Linked DNA regions of Nothobranchius furzeri. The protein of the gene in region 1 purifies or fractionates together with the protein of each later gene. This does not show direct contact. Links are inferred from orthologs where the notes say so. Each region holds a gene or a part of one and is shown in the gene's direction. Other genes may lie near its edges.

Region 1 (4,214 bases):
TTCTGGAGCTCAGATTACCATCAGAACCAGGTCAGAACCGACCACCAGAAGAGACACACGGCTCAGCGGGCCAGTGGAGCTGGTTTCTGGGTTGGAACCGGATCAGAACCGCCGCCTGGACCACCAGGAGAGGATGATGTGCAGCTTTCAAAAATACCAGCTCAACTGGCTCACTGGAGTCTGGGTCGGATCCAGCTCACAGAAGCCCGCATGACCTCCAGAACCGGATCACAGGCGTCTTTCTCCCTCTCTAAGCGCTAAACTACGTTACGTGAACGGATTCTAACGAGTCTGAGACAGCTGGCAGACGCTCATTAGTATTAATATTATATTAACTGACCAATACTATTTTAATTGTCTGGTACATGTCGTAATCTGTAAAAAAATTGTGATGGTAGCGCACGAGTTTAAGCTAGCCTCGTTAACTCACCTGCTGCTCCCCCGCTGCTTCCCCACATTCTCTCTGCGTTGGCCGATGGTTGGTCTTTGCTACAGGGGCGTGCAGTAAACTCATAACTTTATGGTTTTGGTCCATCAGAAGTAAAATTATAAACATTTAAAATTTCCTCTGTGTCAGAGCCGCCATTAGAGTCCATAGTTTTCTCTGGATTAAGCTAACAGGGCTCCCTCAGCTGACGTCGCTTGGTTTGGCAAAAAAAAAAAAAAAAAAACATTTCTCACAAAAAATAATAAATAATTAAATGTGTGAAAAAATTAATGTTTTAAACGAGTTTCTATTATGTTTCTCTAAACATTGGTTCATGGGAGTCTAACCTGCAAGTTGCTCTTTAAGGACAGATGTCGATCGCAGAGCGTGCGCCAGAGTTTGAGGATGTACCTAGACGGATGCAGAGTTAGTGACCTTTCTCACTTTTCTCAAAGTAAATCTATATTATATAATTATTTCCAATCTCACCCTCCGTGGGTGGTCTCATCCTTCCAAGCTCGGGTCCTCTCCCAGAGGCCTTGGAGCTTGAGGGTTCTGCGCAGGTTTCTGGACTGAGATGTTGGATGTTTTTCCTGGGATCTGCTTTAGCCACTCCTCCAGTCTGGGGGTTACAGCCCCGCGTGTCCTAGTACTTCCATAGTTTCTCGTGTTCCTTTGTGCGACCATATGACAAAAATTTGTTGCTTTCTTCTGTAACTACAGAAGTGGTGAGACAGGCTTAAGGTGCAATACATTTGTCCATCTCTAGATGGTGCTGTTGTGTAAAAACACTGTATTTCTGCTTTAAAGGGGTCCTTCAGTCATTTTTGTAATACATTTGCAGTGGTCTCTACTAGGAATGAATGCCTTGTAAGTCGTGCTCTGGGGGAAAATAGCTCCGGTGCGCCTGTTTCAGCATGGAGAATTCAGCCAAAGGAGAAAGTAGCTTCAGATTCAATTCAATTCAAAAATACTTTATTAATCCCAGAAGGAAATTGATTGCTGTAGTAGCTCAGAATAATAATAATAATCAAGTCATCAAAGAGTTGTTGTATATTACAATGGCTGTTGGCAGGAAGGATCTCCAGTAACAGTCAGTGTTGCAGCGAAACTGAAGAAGCCTCTGACTGAAGACACTCTTCCGTTGTCGGACAGTCTTGTGAAGAGAATGCTCAGGGTTGTCCATCATTTTCTTGATTCTCTGGAGAATGCTTCTTTGCATCATCTCCTCCAGTGGGTCCACAGTCTTCCCCAGAACAGAACCAGCCTTTTTTATTAGGCTGTTGAGTCTTTTCAGGTCCCTGCTTCTGATGCTACTAGCCCAACAGACGACAGCTGAAGAGATTACACTCTCAACAACAGACTTGTAGAAGGTCTGCAGCATCTTGCTACAGACACTGAAGGACCTAAGCGTCCTCAAGAAGTGCAGTCTGCTGTGTCCCTTCTTGTAAACGGCTTCGCTGTTCTTTCTCCAGTCCAGTCTGTTGTCCAAGTGAACTCCAAGGCATTTGTATTCCTCAACCACCTCCACTTCTTCTCCCATGATGGAAACAGTGTTTGACTCCACCCTGTTTCTTCTGAAGTCTAAAATTTCACGTTCAAGGTCAGATGATTGTTTCCACACCATGCCACAAAGCGCTCCACTAGCTCTCATTACTTAGCTTCCTGTCCGTCTCTGCTACACCCGACAACTGCAGAGTCATCTGATGCTTGAACATTTCGCCTCTGTTCGTCTAACAGCAACACACCTGTACCACTGACTCTGTTTGCTCTGCAACGTTGATGTTCCATCTCCATAAATAACACAAGCATGGAGGAATTCTGCCTTGTGGTGGAGTTGCTAATGCTAACGGTTAGCTTCTACTAGTTGAGACATTCTCTGCTGTTTGCTGGAAGCTAAACCAACAACAGCCTTCAGCGTTACGAGACAAGAGGAGTCCGTGAATGTTAAGTGACAGAGTGACGTAGATCTGTCAGGATTTTTAAACCCTAGAGTCTGTTTTCTATCAGCAGCTAAAGCAGGAGATAGGTGTAGGAAACTATTTTCATGTTTAGCCTGCATGAAAAACTCAGAGTGACAGATTATAATCAGAAGAAATCATTAAAAAAAAGTATTTTCAGTGTTCCATATTTTTAAGTACTGGTGTTCATGCCAGAAGTATTTAAGCTGTGTTGTGGGTCTTTGGAAAGACTGAATCCAAGTATAAAAGTATCTTAACAACTTTCTGATGTTTGACGATTCTGCTGCAAAAACAAAAAACCTTCATCTTTAGCCTTAGGTCAGCTCTGGTTTGTATTGCTTTTAGGTTTGTTTTGGTAATCACACCCCACCTCTTGGTTCTTGTCAGCTAAGCACTCTATAATGGTTGTCTTGTGGTATCATTTTTGTCCAGATAATCTGAGTTTCCTTTTATCCCTGTTGTCCCTTTCAGTTCTGTTCCACCTGCTTCTGCAGAACTTGTGCCGCTATAGACTCTTTACCTGCACATACGAGTTCTGGGTTTGTTTGTGGAGATGGAAATAACTCCTTCCAGCTCACATACACAGTATTACCAAAAGTAATGGAACGGCTGCCTTTACAAAGTCATGACTGTTTGTCCAGGAGTGCATTTATGAGCTCAGATGATCTAATTTATACTAAAGGCGTTCTATCAGGCTGAGGCAAGGTTAGCTAACGACACATCCCTACTCTGGTCCTGCATGATTCCTTCACCGCTCTGACACTGATAAAAACTAACTTACTGTGCATAACGCTGGATTTTCTCATTGCAGTGTGGTTGTTTTGTTTTTGCTTTGATTAGAAACCATACAGATTCTACCTGGATGAGACAAGCTACGTCTGCAGATCTCTGATTTAAAGTGAACGGTGCTTTTTGAGAATGGTGTTAAACTTTCTCTGTTTCTGAATTCCTGTGGTGCATTGGCATCCGTGAAGTCAGGGATAATTATAAACCCACGAAGAATCAACCACTGTTAAATAAATGTTATTCCTGCAGCCAATGTTTCAGCTTTGTGTTTTTTTTTTTTTATGTGTCAAATTATTGTGGGTAAGCAAAATAGAACATGTTTTTTATTCTCTCCTAGGAGTCTCCATCCCAGGAGGACGAGCCGTCGGAGTCCCGTCCTCAGATTGACCCATCTGAGCTCGTCCCACGCCTGTGCCACCTGGTGCGGTCCAAGACGGGCTACGGCTTCAACCTTCACAGCGATCGGTCGCGACCCGGACAGTACATCCGATCCCTAGACCCAGGATCACCGGCAGATTCTGCTGGACTTCGGCCTCAGGACAGGCTCGTTGAGGTACGCTCCTTCTGTGTAATACCAGGGTCTTTAAAACCGAAATGTTTCAAAGTTTCTCTTGATAAGCTGAGAGAAAAATGTCCAGACGAGCATTGTGTGGGTGTCTTTGTTCACAAAAGCCCTCGGCTGACTCTGCAGAATGGGGGAAAGGAAAACGATAGGATGATTATTTATAAATGACACGCCGTTTGTCTGCTTCACGTCAGAGTGGAGGATAATTAACAGCATGTGAGAAATTTACCACAAGAGAAGTGCTTTAACCCCTCACCTTGTGTGTGTGTGTGTGTGTGTGTGTGTGTGTGTGTGTGTGTGTGTGTGTGTGTGTGTGTGTGTGTGTGTGTGTGGTTTAATTTCCACTCAACTTTCCATTTTATCTTCTGTGAATAATAAATAACTATCTGACTGGAACACAGAGCTGTCCGCGTGTTTCCATCGCTCTCCCCTTTACAAATAATCTAAATTTTCTGCATACAAATAAAACAGCAGG
Region 2 (4,214 bases), on another chromosome or scaffold:
ACCACCTTTTATGAGTATGTGAAGGGTTAACCCCATAACACTCCAGATGAGGCTAATTAATGGTGGTAAGTGAAGGTGCTACCTCCCAGTCCCCTCAGTGGGATCAGTCGGTTGTTTCAAATCTTTTTCTGTTCTGCTCTAATTGTGTTAGCTTGCTCTTCCCCCGCGAGAGATAAAGACGGTCTAATCACAGCACAGAAATAAGGGAATACCCAGCGGTTGTGCAGGAATCAGGGTGAAACCCAAGGCCTGTGATAATACCCAAGTGATTTCCCAAAGCGGATGTGTGTGTGGCGCCGTGTGAGCATGTCATCTCCGCCTCTGTAGAGAACATTGGCACAGGAGCTGACCTCAAATTTCTCATCCCTTGAGTTTTCTGTAGTGGGAGCTGTTTCTGTCCAAGACAATGTTTTGATTACTGCAGGGGTCTGCTTTCCTGATGGACATCTATAAACGAAGCAGTGACACTTCAGAAAATAGTTTGCCATAAAGGTCTCTCACTTTTAGAAGACGCAAATGCTGAAATGTTCGTTCAAACATAAATGGCAGCATGATTAATTCTTGTGTTTTCTGCTTCTCAGGATGAAACTGGTGCCTATCTCATTGACAGAGACCCTACATATTTCGGGCCGGTGCTTAATTACTTGAGGCATGGCAAACTGGTGCTTAACAGGGACTTGGCAGAGGAAGGTAATTATTCTGACCCTCAGTTTCACTCCAGCACAAAAATAAAACAAACTCAACCGAAAACACTTTAGTAAAACTAAAGCCGTGGTCTCGTTGGGCTGCAGCTGCTGATGGTGAACAGCATGTGAAATGTTTTTCTTGCACGAGTCACTAGACTTTGCCGTTTCTCTTTGAACATTTTTGTGAATAAAAATCCAGACATACAAGTATGACTCAGTGGTTTCTGTCATTACCTGCATCTAGACCCATCTGGGCCTTTTTTCTGTGATTTTGAAAGTGGAGTGTTTGTGAGGTAAATTGAGGAACTGGCAACAAATCTGTGGCATTTTGATGTTCAAAACATGATTGTAAACATGCTGGATTGTGGCCAAGAGCTAATTTCCACGTGATGGGAACATACAAGGTTACATTATGACATTAGTTTATCCATGAGACACTTTTAACTGAATTGCAACAAAGAATTGTGTGACAGTCACACGACTTTCACCGCTTGTTTGCAAAATACGTCCGATGTCTTGTGTAAACTGGCAAGTCAGTTTACTGTGTCCAACATAAAACTGACATGATTTATTTATTTGTTCTCTGTCGTTTGGTGAAATACTGGCTTAAAAGAATATATTGTTGCAAATTAAAAACTTTTGAAAAAAGTGTTTTGTATTTTCAGGATTTTGGAAATGAGTACATTTTTAATAAAGCACTTGAAACTTTTAACTGGCATAATACAATACATTAACTTTGCGAGAAGAGGAAGTGCAATAGTTCAGAGCATGTATAAACTAGCCTGGCAAGCCATCCTATATACACTCACTGGCCACTGAATTGGGTACACCTTGCTAGTACCGGACAGGACCCCCTTTTGCCTTCAGAACTGCCTTAATTCTTCATGGTATTGATTCAGCAAGGTACTGGAACTATTCCTCAGAGATTTTGGTCCATATTGACATGAAAGCATCAGACAGTTGCTGCAGACTTGTCGGCTGCACATCTATGATGAAAATCTCCCGTTCCACCACATCTCAAAGGTCATCTATTGGACAGTGATCTCATTGTCATGTTCTAGAAACCAGTTTGAGATGATTCGAGCCTTATGGTAAATGGCCTGAATATGAAATAGCGCCTTCTAGAGTCCTGGAACCTCATAAGGTGCTTAACAACAGTCATTCACACACACATTCACACCCTGGTGGTGATGAGTTACATTGTAGCCACAGCTGCCCTGGGGCGCACTGACAGAGGCGAGTCTGCTGTACACTGGCGCCACCGGTCCCTCCGAACACCACCAGTAGCAACGTGGGTTAAATATCTTGCCTAAGGACACAGCGACAGACTGAGTAGGACTCAAACCTGCAACCTTCCGATTACAGGTGAGCACTTAACTCCTGTGCCACCATCGCCCCTTATGACATGGCACATTATCCTATTGGAAGTAGCCGTCAGAAGATGGGCACACTGTGGACATAAAGGGATGGACATGGTCAGCAAAAATACTCCGGTAGGCTGTGGTGTTGCAACGATGATTAATCGGTACTAAGGGGCCCAAAGTGTGCCGAGAAAATGTCCCCCACACCATTACACCACCACCATCCTGAACTGTTGATACAAGGCAGGATGGATCCATGCTTTCATGTTGTTGATGCCAAATTCTGACCATACCATCTGAATGCAGCAGCAGATATCGACTCATCAGACCAGGCAACGTGTTGGTGAGTCTGCATGAATTGTAGCGTCAGTTTCCTGTTCTTAGCTGACAGGAGCAGCACCAGGTGTGGTGTTCTGCTGCTGTAGCCCATCTGCCTCAAGATTTGATGTGTTGTGCATTCAGAGATGCTCTTCTGTATACCTTGGGCGTAACGAGTGGTTATCTGCGTTACTGTTGCTTTTCTATCAGTCTGGCCATTCTTCTCTGACCTCTGGCATCAACGAGGCATTTTCGCCCACAGAACTGCAGCTCACTGCGTGTTTTCTCTTTTTCGGACCATTCTCTGTAAAACCTAGAGATGGTTGTGTGTGACGATCCCAGAAGATCAGCAGTTTCTGAAATACTCCGACCAGCCTGTCTGGCACCAATAATTGTGGCCAGAGAGTGTATGTGAATAGTCTTGCCACGACCCATGGACAGCTCTCAGTTGTAGGGCGGGATCTACGGTTGTCTTTCAAATGGTCTCTACATGCTATCAGACAACAAGTAACGAGACGTACTCACTGCTACGGATGTCAGTCAACGGGGCAGTCCACCATACGCTCAAAGAAAACACAAATGCATCCTTTTTTCTAATAAAGGATTTAAGTATCTATCTGCTCTTTACTCGAAGAGAAACCAAATTCTAAATGGTCCAAAGTTGATGCCAAAGCTATTTCAAACAAGCAGTCACCATCTTAGGTTTGCTCAGTAGCAGTCGTTCACCACACCGATAAAGAACTGTGGCTGACCCACCAGACGGATAGAGCACTGTGGCTGGCATGCCTCCAGACTGGCCAGGGCCACAGAGAGTCCAATGGAGTGAGGCTAGACTGCCATGCAAAGCAAAATCATTTTTCTTCTGCTGCAGACGGTTTAGATTTCTAGGCCATATATGTACAGTTCAGTTTGTCTTGAGTGTAAATTGTCACCAATTAAAGGATCTGGAAAGTCTTGAATTCACCTTTTGGTTTAGGAAAAGTTATAAGGACAACTTTTAAATGTAACATTACCACTTAGATACTTTTGGATCATTTCATAGCCGTGGTTCTGTTTTTTTTTACATGGGAATGAGATGTTTGTTGCTCCTGTTAGGTGTGCTGGAAGAAGCAGAGTTCTATAACATCACATCATTAATAAAGCTCATCAAGGATAAGATCAGGGAGCGTGACTGCAAAACATCCCAGGTATGTTCCAGTTTCTGCAGACACACCAGTTTTCCAAAGATCTAAGTGTCACAATTCCTATATTCATACAAAATAGGTTTAAAATCGTCCCATCTTCATCTCATTTGGTTTGTGTCAGGTTCCAGTGAAGCATGTGTATCGGGTGCTGCAGTGCCAGGAGGAGGAGTTGACACAGATGGTGTCCACCATGTCTGATGGCTGGAAGTTCGAGCAGGTAAATCTCCTCCCAGCAGGGTTGCATCAGCAGTCGTCCTGTCGTGCTTCACCCACCCTGCTGTGCTCAAGTTGACCCACAAAGTTCCAATCCTTCATATTAGAAATGAATTTGAACAAAACAAACAGCAACTCGGGATCTTTCTCAAATGTCTGCATACATGATCCGGGCATGCCTTCTGTGCTCTGATTGGTTGTTGCAGCTTGTCAGTATAGGTTACGGGCGGGCCCACCAGTCAGAGTTTCTGCTGATTGTGTCAAGGGAGGTGAAGGGAGAGGAGTCTGCTTTGCCAAACAACAGCGGAGAGGTGTGTCCCACAAATTTTTGTCCACGGGCTGGTCACTTGCATGGTCCCCATATTGTCCATACACACACCCTTTTGGCCGTTGTTTGTCCCAAGTAGACACACACAGCTATTTTGTTTTGTTTGTTTACTTTCTTGAGCTTA
Region 3 (4,214 bases), on another chromosome or scaffold:
TAATTCTCCATTCTCTGACATGGTCAGGAAGAAGATTGGGGGGTGGACACCAACAGACCACTGAAACTGACCCACAAGACCAGTAATAGTGTTGAAGTGGAGCTTAGAGAATAACTCTTAGCCTAGTTGACCCTGAACGTGGAAAGGATCCGGTCCAGTTTTTGTACGGCTTCTGCATCATTAAGAAATTGTTGAGTACAATCAGAGCGTTCACACCAGCTGTGGTGCAGATCCGGACCTGGACGCTGCATGCAGATTATGACGAGGGTAAAGAAATGAGATGAGCCAGACTGTGAGACATGTTTCAGTGAGGTGCATCTGGTATATCCCAATTTAATAAGCATTTTTGGCCAGCTTTAGTTTTAGTATTAATGACGGTGAAATCAGTTTACAGTGAATGATGGTTCACATCATTTTTACAGGTGCATATTTAAAGCTATAATAACAAAACAAGCTAGTTTTTAAACACAAACGGTTTCACAGAACTTTCACCCTCCTGTCGGCTTTCATCCTCCCGATGTGGGATCGCCAGAGTAAAGGAGAGCACTAAACACCAGGTGCTGTATTCTTGTTCCAAACAACTTTTGTTGTCTGTCACATGAAATGCTGATTTTCTTTTTGGGACTCTGCTAGTTTGTCCTAAAGCTGAAGTGGTAGCAGCCGGCTGTTTCTCCTTCTCTGATTCAATTAAATTAAAATTCAAAAATACTTTATTAATCCCAGAGGGAATTAGAGATGTTATTGAGTGGAGAACCTCTCACAGTGCATAATGAGTGGAGGACCCAGGTAAATTAAAATGTGCAGCAGTTTGGTGAGACTGATTACCGGATTCATTACATTTTTTTCTTTTTTTTAAACTCCCCACAAAATATCCATAGCTATATGTTAAAACATTAAAAGGCAAATAAAGAGGTTTTAAGCTAGCTTGTTTTGTAGATTTGCCATTGTAGCTTTAAAGGTTTTGTGTCAAATTTCTAATATTTTGGTGCCCTTGTGGGAGCAGATATCTGGATATGTTCAGCAGTCGGATTGAGTGGCAGTGAGTCTGGAAGTGAAATGGAAACCGGACCGCCTCGTACCACTCTCGGTGTGAAACAGCCTGACATGCTGGTCAGTGGCAGAAGCACGTTATATATCAAGGATTATTAGTAAAACTGCAACATCTTTGTCAAATTTTCTGATGTAAAGTTGGTGTTTTGATGTTGAGTTTTCATTAAGAACCTTCTCGTTACCTGGTGAACAATGTTCACATGTCAAAACAAAGAAGTTGTCTAATGAAGATCACCTGTTTTTGTCTTCATAGAGTGTTCTGCTGCTGTTCTATGTACTTCACAAAAGAAACCTGCAAGCTGTAGAGCCTCTGATTTTGAGATGGACTTTGAAAGTCTTTTGCCCAACATTAGTAATGCTGACCCAGCCAAATTAACACTAGACAAAAACATTTTTGCTTAGTGTCCACAAAATAAAACCACATTTCTCTTGGTGTAATAGTGGGATGTTTCTGTCTTTAGATTCTTGTGGCTTTGCGTCATCTCCACTTCAAGAACATTGTCCACTGTGACCTGAAACCTGAAAATGTGCTCCTGGCCTCTGCAGATTCCTTTCCTCAGGTATTATCTGTATTCAGGCTTAATGCTTTACTGGTTTGTTTTAAAACTTGGGCCACTAAATGGCTAACTGCTTTCCAGATTCAGAACCAAATGATGTTTAAGTGCAGCGGCACAGTTACGAGAACGACTACATGACCTGCACTACTTTATTCACACTTTGTTTCATACAGAAAGACTTTTTTTTTTTTTTTGCTAAATCGTTTAGGCCAATCGTTGAACAAATGCAGTAATAAATGAAAACTGGTATAAAATGAAAGTCCCTTATATGACATATCACAAGTAAAGATAATTTGGCAATGTTAAAAATAATAAAAAAAAATATATAAATAACCTTTTACTTTTTAAGATGTGAAACTCAAACATTGACTTCCTTTATTAAGGCCTGCCTCTGGTGAGAGGTGATGGTTAGGGTGAGATCTTTAGTAATACTCCTTCATTGTCCAACTGCAGGTGAAGCTTTGTGACTTTGGATTTGCTCGAATAATTGGTGAGAAGTCCTTCAGGCGCTCAGTTGTCGGCACGCCAGCATATCTTGCTCCTGAGGTCCTGAGGAACAAAGGTTACAACCGCTCTCTGGACATGTGGTCTGTCGGGGTCATCATTTATGTCAGGTAGGGCATCATGTGAAGGGAAGGTTTTTGTCTCAAAGGCATTACCCAGTTGGTGTTTATAGTTATTTAGGTGCATTAGAGTGTTTGTTTGTGTTGACTTTAATCCATGCAAACACAATCTAATGTCGGTTAAAGGTGCAGTGCATATTTCAGTTGTAAAACTCTGCTTGCAGTCTCAGTGGAACATTCCCTTTCAATGAAGATGAAGATATCAACGATCAGATCCAGAATGCGGCCTTCATGTACCCTCCTCATCCCTGGAAGAAAGTTTCCCAGGAAGGTACGTAATCCAGCTGAAACCCTTAGTGACTGGATCTCAGCATCCAAACAGGGTTTATGGGTATTTCATCTCAAACTGATCTAATACCGTTTAAGCAAGTAGTTTTCCTTTCCTTCGCATATTTCTCTATCGTTGTTTATTGTTTTTAAAATGTGTTGTCTGATGTGCAAATAAACATTTCCAATCAATCAATCAATCAATCAACAAATCAATCAATCAATCAATCAATCATCTGTCTATCAACAAATCAGTCAGTCAGTCTGTCTGACTGACTGATTTGTTGATAGATAGATGGACAATCAATCAACAAATCAACCAATCAATCATTCAGTCAATTAATCATTCAGTCAATCAACAAATCAATCATTCAGTCAATCAATCATTCAGTTAATCAATCAATCAGTCAATCAATCAATCATTCAGTCAATTAATCATTCAGTCAATCGATCATTCAGTTAATCAATCAATCAGTCAATCAATCAATCATTCAGTCAATCAATCATTCAGTTAATCAATCAATCAGTCAATCAATCAATCAATCATTCAGTCAATTAATCATTCAGTCAATCAACAAATCAATCATTCAGTCAATCATTCAGTCAGTCAATAAACAAATCAATCAGTCTATCTATCTATCAACAAATCAATCAATGTGGGAACAAATTTAAAAGGGTTTGTTATAATGTTGTGATTTAATCTGTTTGGATTACAGGAGTGAGACCAGGCAGGAGTGAATTAACAGTCAGTGCTTTTATGACAGAATTCATTAGATCTCTTCTTGGTGATGAATCGACAAGTTCATTGATGTGAACAAAATGTTGGTGGGAAAAGTAAACATTTTATGATAATGTACTCAAAAGCTTGTCCCAGTAATGGATTAGAGTATAGTATTAGGATAGTTTAGTTAGCATTGCCAGCCATGTGATTACTATTGAGATACGGAGTTACTGGTTTAATCCTGATCAGTAAAAATGTTTCATAATGAGTTGATACTGTTTAGGGCACTTGCCACTAGAGTTGTCTGATCTGTGTTAAAGGTGCCTTAAACTTTATGGACGATGGTGGCAGAGGAGTTAAGTGCCCTCCCCATAAACAGAGGATGGCAGGTTAAAGCTCCACTCAGTCTGCCGTAGTTGTGGTGTCCTTAGGCAACACCCTTCTTGCCTGCTGATGGTGGTCGGGGCGACTGGTGGTGCCATTGTTTAACAGCCTAAATTTTGTCAGTAAGCCCCAGGGCAGAATATCAATGGCAGTCCATGCTTATTTTCTTTTGCTTCCATTCGACTTCACCAGCAACTCTCCTACATTTACTATCCTGGTTGTTTTGGACAAGGTCTGCCAATGTAATTTCCCACTGAGTTACGACCAATCAGTGTGAGTTAAGCTCAGCTACTCCACCAGGCTGTTACGAGTAGCTACCCTGGATAAGGTACTCCAAAAGTTCCTGAAAATGGCCAATTGGCCGGCCCGGTCAAGTGGAGACACAGGCATGTCGGGAAGTTCCCGTAAATCTCTCCGGACGTTCCGGTAATGGAAACGCACCTATAGCTGTACTTGGTTTCACGCCATCTGAAAAAAAAAAACAAATGTAAATGTAAATGGCCAGTATTTGATATAGCGTCTCCCAGGTGCTTTCCAACACAAACATTCATCCACCCATGCACACACACACATTCACACACTGCTGATAAACTACAATGTAGCAGGGGTAGA
Region 4 (4,993 bases), on another chromosome or scaffold:
GAACACTATTAACTTTGGAGGGGGAAAAGTGGCCATCAGAGGTGTGTGTGTGTGTGTGTGTGTGTGTGTGTGTGTCAGAAGATGATCGCATTTGAGAGTGTGTGATGCGGGAAACTTGTCTTTTGTCTACATAGGACTTAATTTTTGGCTGCATTTTCAACTTCTGAGCTGCATGTGAAAAACTGTAAATAAGGCCATTTCTACTCTTGACGAAAAACCTATTTTTTTTTCTTTTGCAAATGCAAGAAAAGTTTAAATATTGAAATCTGTCACGCCCCTTTTATGGGTCAGTACTAACGTACAATTAGAAGTTGTTCAGGAAGCGCTCACAATTTTGTTACTGCTTTGTTTTGTTTTATTGTTTAGAGCAAGTTCAAATCCATAGTGTGGATTACTTGGACTTTTTTTTCCCATGAAATTGCTGAGTAAAGGGCTTGGAAGAGCAACTAAATAACCACCATGATTATTTTACCTGTTCAATTAAAAAATGCATCTACTGTAACATAATCTGGATCTCCTTCCCTCCTCCGAGGCCTGTCCTGACTGAAAATAAAACGATGTCTGGAGCCTTCTTTTTGGTTTTGATCTTTATTTTTCTGTTTTAGTTTTTTTTCTTCTTTTTGTGGAGTGATGAAAGGCACGAGTTAGACTTTTTTCCTCATCAGCTGGACACATCGAACTGCTTCCCAGTTCTGTGGCTTGAAGGAGTGTGAATGCAGGACTGAAAATATGAAATGATTCGTAAAGATGAAAAGTTGTAAACTATTAAATGGAATATTTTCAATTTCATGCTGTGTATTCTTGTCTTTGGGTTGGAGAAAATGATCAAGCGAATAAAACGTGAAATAAAAACAAAGCTGAACTATGGAAGTCTGTTGTTTGGGTTTAAATTGTGTCTGAAGTTTGAAATGGGGCTCATTTTAAACCGTTGGAGCTGAGAAGTGATTTTAGCTCACAAAAAGCAAAGAGGCAAAAGAAAGTTACAGAACTGTTCTGATCAGGGAGTCGCCAGGGGTAGCACGTGCCCCAGCCTGCAACCTGATTATGAGGCACGCGCTTAATTCTTGTGCCACCATCACAAAAACACCAGCTGTAGCTTAATAAATAAATGTTTATGAAGAGTGCTAATACTTAGTATAATAGTATTATAGGCTTTCTTGTTTTCTAGTTGGAAGCTATTGCCCCTCATCAAGCCGCCCCGATGGGTCCCAAAGGGAAAAAGCTACACTCAGTTTGATTTGAAATATCTTCTATGTCAGCGCTGGTCATGACTCCAGACTCCGCAGTAAAAAATCTGGCGCCCCATTGGCGGTTTTAAACAGGGGCCTGGGCTCCTATAGAACCGGCCCTGGCCCCTGTTATGGCCCCTGTGCTGAAGAGATCGGATTTTTGTCCCCTGCGCTGCCTCGGAGACGGGAACTAATGTGCTGCAGCGTTTCAAACGGAGCCTTTAGAGCGCAGCACACTCTGTGGACAGAACTGTTTACCTGGTGGATTTTTGAATAAAAGATTAAAAATAGTTTAAATGGGACCCAAAGAAATTCTTGAGGACGACTTAACGGAAAAGACGCTGAGAAACGAAGGCAAGCAATACAGTTTATTTTCCTGACATCAATGAATTTCCTTTGGCAAAATTGTGCACAAGCACAAAATGGCGACGACAAAAAAGAATTTTCATATTGCACTAATTTTTCCCTTTTTTTCTTGCGCCCCCATGAAAAAATACTGGCCCCCCTGGAAAATGTGGCCTACAACCGCCCCTGTCCAGGGGCCCTAAAAAAGTAAAAAAAAAATTTTAAAAAACTTTTCTTGCAACAATAAACTTCCGGTCGTGCCACACTTTTGCCCCCACCCCAACTCTAGGTCCGTCTCTGATTTTATTTGCAATGAGGAGGAGAGTAGTAAAAGTTGGCTCATTATTATTTATTATTTACCGGAAGCCTCCACCCTCTGACACAACCACTGGCTGGAGCAGTACCCGCCCCCCTGATGTTTACTGATCCGCTCTCCGGCAGCTGCAGGCCCGTGTGACAGCGCGCAGATCAGTCGGGATATGGCAGCGCGGCGCTCGAACGGGATGAAATTCCGTCGCTCCGCGGGAATTAGCGGCGGCACTGGGGAGGCGCTCGCCTTTTGGCGCTGTTAATGGGATCCTTCATGGCGATGGAGGAGGAGGAGAACAACGCAGCGGTCTCTGCGGCTAAAATCCAAGCTGGCATCAAGAAAGAAGGAGGGGATGTTGGAGATAACGGCGCCTGCATCGACAGGCAGCCGGACACGGTGGTCCACCAGGCGGGGCCGAACCTGACTGCGGGTCGCGGCAGCCGCAGTGGTCCCGGAGCTCACTCTGCAACGGGGATCCGAGTCCTGAAGGCAGGTTTCTGGTAATGGGAGAGGGTTTCAGGTCCGGTCACTGCAGCCGGTCAAACATTTGTGTTTGTATCAGAGAGAAACGGGCAAAGGATTTCTAACGTATCCTGTGTGTGTGTGTGTGTGTGTGTGTGTGTGTGTGTGTGTGTGTTGTGTGTGTGTGTGTGTGTGTGTGTGTGTGTGTGTGTGTGCGTGAGCGAGAGCGAGAGCGCACCTGCGTGTGTTAACTGGCTCTGGTACCCTGCTTACTGAATGACAATCATCTCTTATTATGAGCAACATTACATAACACACACACACACACACACACACACACACACACACACACACACACACACACACACACACACACACACACACACACACACACACGGAGGCCTACAGTTGTCTGACATGATGACGGCATGCTCTTTCATTTATTCCATCCTTTACTTCATCCAAGCAGATAAATGAGTCTCAGAGAACTTGTTAGAATAAAACAGTGTTTGTGAACAGCTGAGGGACAATTCTATATTACTATTATTATCTATTGTCATTTTAGGACATTCTAAAAATGTAAACATGAAGTTTATAAGGTTTTGGCTCTATGAATAAACATTCTGACAGCTTATCGGCTTTCAAAACATAATTTTTGAAAGTTTGTTAATCAGTGTTTACCACACTTCATGTTTTTAGGACATTTGAACAAATCTAGAATTTTTTCATTTGCAGTGGCGCCTCGGAGGGGGGTACATGGCCACCCCATGGCCCACAACTGCTCCTTAGGCATAAAGACATTCACATCTAGTTATAACTTATTAGTCATACAAATCCTCACATTGTTTAGGCTCTTACACTCTTTTCTACCAGCAGCGCAACATGAAGAGAAACGGGAGTCGAAGCTGTGTGACAAGAAAGACTAGATTTGGATCACGGGAGCGGGACTGGCTGAAGGGGGACACACAGCGGGGCTGCGTGTGCCTGTATGGTGGAACGGTGGACCCCCAACCACCCGCCTCTGGCCCACAGACCTCCTGCACCCCTCAGACAGACCTGCAGCTTGTGCTCTGCTCCACCAAGACCACCGTGGAGGAGCTGTGTGCCCAGAGGGACAGACAGGGCCTCTACGTTCAGCTGCACGGAGACCTCATCAGGTGAATGTCCTGCGCTTTTGTAGAGACAAAAAGCTAAAGATGAAACCAACATCATTTACGCCATTGCACAAGCATCTAAGCAGCTGCAGATCTGCAGCAGGATATTCACTGGATTTACTCTGCTCACCGTTACGTTGAACTTGGAACTCTTTGTCAGCTCACAGCTTAATGTGAAGTCATGCATTTAATAGAAAAGTAAACAAAACAGAGAAATAAATCATGCAGCATCAAAATGAGGCTTTGTATCTCAGTTGCACAGCTATAGTGGGAGTGAAACATGAGATATCATGCAGCATGTTTCAACTACAGCAAAGATTCCACAGGAAGCTGAGCACTTCCATTAGAGACGCAGCTGTTAGGAGCACAGTGATGCACATTAACATCTAACAGAAGCAAAGCACAAGAGTTTCACACAGACTTTCACATTGTTTATGTAATTTGAAACAAAAATGAGCTGAGGTTAACAGGAAGAACACGGCGCCGCCTCGTTCTCCTACCTGACTGAGACACACTGAAGGTTCAGGTGCTCCTCTCAGATCCACGAGACATTCAGAAATGATTGTCTGGGTCACTGATCCATGACCACAAAGCTTGAAAACCCAGCGTGGAAATATAATCCAAACGAGGACAAAAGCTTAGATTTAGCTGCAGTCACAGTGTGTTCAACTCAATTTTCTTAAAATAATGAACTTTTTCAGAAAAGCCTCCCAGCTCTGTGGTACCATCTAAAGTGCCAGTGGTTTTACATTCCAGATGTCTGACAGTGAGCTCAGTCAGGTGGATTTAAATCTCATATTCCTAAAAGCTGGCTTTTGCTGTTTGTAGCAAGCTTTGGATTCAATTTAAGCTAATGAAAAGAAGAATCCTCCAAAGACAGAATACACATACAGTAAAAGCCATTTAAAGTTTATTGCAATAATTTAAAAAAGGCATATGATCGTTATGTATCATGAAGAGAATGAAGCATGTAGAGATTGAAGAACAGTGGTCCAAGAACCGAACCTTGTGGGACCCCACATGTCATGAAGGTCTGCTCAGATTAGTGACCACCAATAGGAACAACATGCATCTGCTGTTGAGATGTGACCCTAAAGGGATACTAAGCACTTTGGTTTGCTTTTAGCACCCTCTAGTGTCTTTTAGTAAAAACAAAAGTAAAACTCATCTCCTCGCTGTTTGTTCGTTTTTTAACACCTTAATCTAACTGTTGAAATGTCTCCTCAGCCATCATTAGTGCCTACAGGAGCATTTCATCACTGAATCAAACAAATCAACTGTGTTCATACCAATACCAATACCAATTTTATTTATAAAGCGCATTCACAAGGCATTACAACCAAACAAGGCACTGTACACTAAAAATGTTAGTTAATTAAACCGGCGTTATACAGTCATGTAGAACAGAGATAAAAGATAAAAAGGAAAAACAACAAAATTTCTAAAACTAACAGTTAAAAATCAGTAAAACACAGGGAGAATAAAAAATTAGA
Region 5 (4,968 bases), on another chromosome or scaffold:
TTGCAAAGCTAATAGAGTCAGTGTAAGAGTCATGCTGCTGTTAGCCAATCAGAGGCAAGATAACAGCAGCAAATATCAGGAAATAAGAGTCTAAGTGTTGATCAAATCTTTTATTGACATTTCCGATCCGTTTGGAAGACAAACCTTTGCAATCGTTCGATACTCAGTCAATGGAAAGTGCTGCTCTTGGAACAAGGATGTCTGATTTTAATGTTATTGTTCTGTTCTACCATGAAACCACCGAAGGATGAATCAGTCATAATAGTGTTAGTCATAATAATGACAACTGTTGTAGCCTGGAGGCAGCTGTGGTTGACAGCTGGCCTACCACTGCTTTCACTACGATCATTCAAACTCAGCCGTATTAGTAAACAGGAAAAGGTGTTGGTTATATCTGTGGTTTTTATTTTCATAACATCTCTGTCTGCAGCATGATCTTGAATTTATTTTATTTTTTACCTTTGCTCTTGTTCTCCACTCCCCTTTTTTCTGTAACTTCAGATGGGTCCTGTGACAGTTAAGGCCGTAACTCCTAGTGTAATCAGCTCAACCCGGCTACTGGACTGTTACACACAAGATATGTAGGCTTAATACGAGACACGCTCTTCTTGTTGCTGTCAAGCAAGAAAAAAAAGTATGTGTCTGGAATTCGCCCTCTCATTGACGCGATGACCTGGGCTGGAGATCGTGTCACCAACCTTTGAGTTATAGCTGATCCAGACGGGGTTTTATTGCTGAAGGCTGAGGTTTATCTGCTACCAAGCTGTGAAGTCGTGTTTAGATTTGAATGTGTGAATGCCTTCACTCACCGTGTCGCTTTAACAAGAAATGTCATTGTTGTCGTTTTTGACAACTTTTCCATGAATGCTTTTAATTAAAAGGCAACAGTGAGGGTGGAGGTGGACTGGAATACCATCTTTGTTCTGGTTTTGCCGGATCCACAATAGATCTCCATGGTTCCTGCAGGAAGTCAGCAGCCCCCGCGCCCCCCAATGAATTTTCAAAGGCTTGATAGGTCTTTGCTGATAAGCCCTCCTTCAGGCCTGACTCCAGGGCCTTATACTTTGTATCAATACAAGATAACCTTGTTCTTTGTTATTTTTTCTTCTTCTCTTTTATCTTATTTGATTAAATCTCTATCTTCTCACCCAGGACCACTATTATTTACATGATATCAGCAAGAGCTGTTTGCCCCTCCGAGCCCCGACACCCAGGAACTCAAACCCCTCCTTCATGGTTATTCATGAAGATGTTTTATATAGCGCCTCCTCAAGATAAAAATCACAAGGCATTTCAGAAGAACAAAATAAAAATAACAATAATATTTAAAAAATATTAAATACGGAGAAGTAAAAATTGTGATTAAAATGGGAGAAAAGGGAAAGAGAAAAAGAATAAGAATGAGGTAATCAGTGGATCATAAAGGATCATGAATAAATACTGAGTAGCTGAGGAGATTTAAAATCCTTCTGCGTAAAGTAAAAGTCACGAGAACGGAGCTGGTGGACGTCACAGTGTAAAAAGTTGGAACCCACTGGTCAGACCAAACCACCTGGTTGTAAAAACAAAAGCTCTGGATATCCCTGGGTAGGTTTATCTTATTTATAACAATTAACAGTTAAAAATGAGCTAAACTGGGGAAAAAATGCAAATAAATGAATGGAAATGATATCAAAAGGGTCAGAATTCTTATTCTAACAAAGGCCTTGAAATGTTGCATGATGAGATTACACAAATGGCTGACTCACTACTTCTGAACTACTTCTTCCTCACTGGGGTCATGAGGGGCTGGTGCCCAGCTCCAGCACTCACCAGGCCAGATGTGAGGGACACTCTGGACACTGGCCTGTGGAGGAGGAAACTGGATCATCTGCAGAAAAACATGCAGAACGGCTGCAGCTGGAACCTGCAACCTACTCACTGCAAGGCAAAGTGCCCCCACTCAGCCCATGACACAAGCATTTTAACAAACATTTCTCTGATTTTTCACATTAATGAAAAAGCAATGGGTGACATTCAATTCAATTCAATTCAATTCAATTCAAAAATACTTTATTAATCCCAGAGGGAAATTGAGTAGACACATGTGCATCTTTAGGCCTCTGGGTGAAATGGTTTCCCACCTTTGTACTGGGATCCCTCCTTGGCTGCCCTGGCTCTGATCATCCACCTCCCTGCTGTGATCATCGGCCTTTTCTGGTTGAAGCCATCCTTTCCTAGCGAGGCTCTGATTGGCTGGTCCTTCTTCCCATCAGCCGACAGGGGGCGACAGGAGGCGGCTCCACAGACGTGAAGCGCTCCAGCCTAGCTCCCTTGTGGGACAGAGCTGCGCACTGTGCAGATCAGGAGCTCCGCACCGCGGCTGCCGCACCCTTCCCTCAGCGGAACGCTGCGCGCAGGTAACGATCTGCTCAAATTACCGGAAGCGAGATTCCGTTCAGGTGACGGAGGCCGAAACCCACCGCGCTAAAGTTTCAGGGACGTGAAAACTCCCCCCGGGGCAGAGCTTTGATGTGATCCATCCACCTCCTCCACCTTGGGACAAACGCTCGTTTCTTTAAAGTGTTTTATTTTTATTTCTTTCGTCTTTCAAAACTCGATGTTTGTGGAGCGCAAGTGACCCGAGGAGGACTCGACCAAGGACGAGTAAGTAGATCTGTTTTTTCTCTTTGTGAAACAATCAGGTGGAAAACCCGGAATTAAGAAACTTTTCTTTTTAAACTGCAGTTTCATCCCTAAATCCGTCCATGCCCCTTCTGTGTAATGCCCTCATGCTTCCAGACAACTTTACTCTAGTTTCAGCAGAAGAATGTGTTATCTCCTGCAGATAAGACTTTTGTATCGTCCCTTTCCCGGATGCCCCTGTTGCACATTCTCCAATAAAACAACTCACTTTAATAGGATTTTCTTTAGTGGTTCTGTTTTGTAGCAAACAGGTTTAACAGGTTAAATCCACCTTATGATAATGCAATCAGAACAATCCTGCAATAAATTGAAGGATCAATGTTCAGGCGTTGTTGACACACTGCACCTTTTTTACCATCTGTAAATACTACTGCACTGATCATTTTTTGCATGCACACCTGAAAACAAATGTTAGTTATAGTAGAAAAACCAGTGCATTGCTAGTAATATAGATTTTTTTTCAAAATAACAAGCTTGACTGAAACTCACTTGTTGGAAATGAATGAGGAAACTCAGCAAATTATCTAACTTGAGCCAAACTGTGTTTGTTTTTCATAGTTTTGCTCACCCTAAGGGTGTAGGGAATGGATTTATATTCTGAGAACAAGATGCAAATTTCTGTCATTACCATCACACGGTCACCTTGGTCTTTAGTTTTTATTTATTATCAACATGGAACATTTCTAAAACATCTCAGGAAATGTGAAACTCCCCACACTTTCATTTTAAACGGCTTCCTCACCCCCAAAAAGATGAATGAAAAACTCAACTATACCTATTTCTGTTAAATACCTTTAAACATCTTCCCTTATGGCCTGTTGTCAGTCACACATTCTTGCTTTTGGTTTCGATGACCACAGAAGATGATGGAGGGATGAAATTTGTTTGACTGAACGAAAGAAAAGGGCATTTATACAAATCAGAATGTTCCACCATGTGCATGTCACAGGAAAAGCACACCTACATATGACTCCTGTGGTTTGATCAAAGAACTAATCATAATGGGTTGGAAATGTGTTTTCCCCCACCGTCGTGTTAATTGTAACCTGTGTGCTTTTCTTGCCGTTAAACCGCCAAGACTTTTTTTCAGAGGCGAAAGGAGGGAGAAGAGACCTGGGTGTGGCTTTTCTTGTAATGACTGGTTTGCATTCAAACCAGTGTTTACAGATTCAGCTGGGTTTTTTCACATACAAATAACAGACAAGTTACACGTGAAAACACACAATCCTGCTAACATTGTCCAACTAGAGCTGCAAAAAGTCCATAGGGACCTACACACTTGCAGCTTTTGCACATAAAACAAAAAAATTCAACTTTTATGGAAAACAAATCACAAGAAAATACTATGCTGCTGTTTTATTCTGACATAAGTTATCATTTTATATTTATAGATAAAAAATGGGAATGCTTAAATTGCTACATTAGTGCTAGGAATGGGGGAGGGGAGGCAGACGAGGTGTTCTTGGTTAGGAAGGAGGTGGGGAGAAGGGATATTTCCTTTGCAACTACCCTTTGTCCTTTTCCCCCCACAAAGCTCCTTAGGCATGAATGATAACGGGCTAATTAGTGAGTTTAATAGGGTTTGTTAGGTGAGTGTGAGGCTGGCATCAAGCTGTGCTGAAATTTGAGTTGGTTGTTTACATACCACGTCAGGGGGTCCCATTTGCTAGGAGGGTTTTGTTCTTGTCACATGTTCTTTCTGAGGGTTAAAAGTCCATCTCTAAATAAATCCATTTAGGGGGATTCTGCGCAACTTGTGCATTACACGCAACTCTGAGACAAATGTTTACAGATGTTCCAGATGGCTGACTGTTGGCTTTGTGTTTAAGGAAATGCAGCCATTTTTGTCGTTTAATTCTTTGGAGGAAGAACGAGGATATTTCTCATCAAGACAGCTTTAGGTTTGCATTATTTTCCTTGGTTTAGATGGGGCATGTGGGGAAATTATTGAGATCATGAAACAAGCTAGCCTGGTAAACCATAACCTGGCCAAAACCCATTGAAACCATCCAGTCGTACTGCACAATCTATGGTTGTCTTCCAAACTGTCACTGTACACAATTGGACAGCACAAGGACCAATCAGAGCAATGAATAATGTCACGTGTTCATTGCTGCAGAAATCAGTCAACGGGGCAGTCTGCCGTACACCATCAGAGAACAAGCAAATGCATCCATCTGCTCATGTCTCAAAGAGAAGCCCAAGTCTACGTCGTCCAAAGTTGATTCCAAATCTGTTTCTAAAGAGTGCCATTTCTGTATACTGCCATCTTTGTAGTTCGTC

What was found.
Region 2: the proteins of Na(+)/H(+) exchange regulatory cofactor NHE-RF2 (region 1) and kctd5b purify together in Homo sapiens (affinity purification with mass spectrometry; 3 studies listed by BioGRID and IntAct, with this or other methods). This does not show direct contact. The link is inferred for Nothobranchius furzeri from reciprocal best matches to the Homo sapiens genes NHERF2 and KCTD5.
Region 3: the proteins of Na(+)/H(+) exchange regulatory cofactor NHE-RF2 (region 1) and prkd1 purify together in Homo sapiens (affinity purification with mass spectrometry; 3 studies listed by BioGRID and IntAct, with this or other methods). This does not show direct contact. The link is inferred for Nothobranchius furzeri from reciprocal best matches to the Homo sapiens genes NHERF2 and PRKD1.
Region 4: the proteins of Na(+)/H(+) exchange regulatory cofactor NHE-RF2 (region 1) and phlpp2 purify together in Homo sapiens (affinity purification with mass spectrometry; 3 studies listed by BioGRID and IntAct, with this or other methods). This does not show direct contact. The link is inferred for Nothobranchius furzeri from reciprocal best matches to the Homo sapiens genes NHERF2 and PHLPP2.
Region 5: the proteins of Na(+)/H(+) exchange regulatory cofactor NHE-RF2 (region 1) and lysophosphatidic acid receptor 2 purify together in Homo sapiens (affinity purification with western blotting; 3 studies listed by BioGRID and IntAct, with this or other methods). This does not show direct contact. The link is inferred for Nothobranchius furzeri from reciprocal best matches to the Homo sapiens genes NHERF2 and LPAR2.

Annotation. Positions count from the first base shown.
Region 1 is NC_091752.1:53,720,909-53,725,122, reverse strand, and holds part of Na(+)/H(+) exchange regulatory cofactor NHE-RF2, read left to right. Parts: intron 1-3,511; coding exon 3,512-3,727; intron 3,728-4,214.
Region 2 is NC_091756.1:32,816,459-32,820,672, forward strand, and holds part of kctd5b (BTB/POZ domain-containing protein KCTD5), read left to right. Parts: intron 1-581; coding exon 582-690; intron 691-3,460; coding exon 3,461-3,552; intron 3,553-3,670; coding exon 3,671-3,766; intron 3,767-3,968; coding exon 3,969-4,073; intron 4,074-4,214. UniProt on the Homo sapiens protein: Its interaction with CUL3 suggests that it may act as a substrate adapter in some E3 ligase complex. Does not affect the function of Kv channel Kv2.1/KCNB1, Kv1.2/KCNA2, Kv4.2/KCND2 and Kv3.4/KCNC4.
Region 3 is NC_091758.1:8,117,328-8,121,541, forward strand, and holds part of prkd1 (serine/threonine-protein kinase D1), read left to right. Parts: intron 1-1,511; coding exon 1,512-1,610; intron 1,611-2,060; coding exon 2,061-2,221; intron 2,222-2,394; coding exon 2,395-2,501; intron 2,502-4,214.
Region 4 is NC_091749.1:59,352,640-59,357,632, reverse strand, and holds the start of phlpp2 (PH domain leucine-rich repeat-containing protein phosphatase 2), read left to right. Parts: upstream 1-2,000; 5' UTR 2,001-2,145; coding exon 2,146-2,373; intron 2,374-3,219; coding exon 3,220-3,503; intron 3,504-4,993. UniProt on the Homo sapiens protein: Protein phosphatase involved in regulation of Akt and PKC signaling.
Region 5 is NC_091744.1:9,323,739-9,328,706, reverse strand, and holds the start of lysophosphatidic acid receptor 2, read left to right. Parts: upstream 1-2,013; 5' UTR 2,014-2,646; intron 2,647-4,968. UniProt on the Homo sapiens protein: Receptor for lysophosphatidic acid (LPA), a mediator of diverse cellular activities. Seems to be coupled to the G(i)/G(o), G(12)/G(13), and G(q) families of heteromeric G proteins. Plays a key role in phospholipase C-beta (PLC-beta) signaling pathway.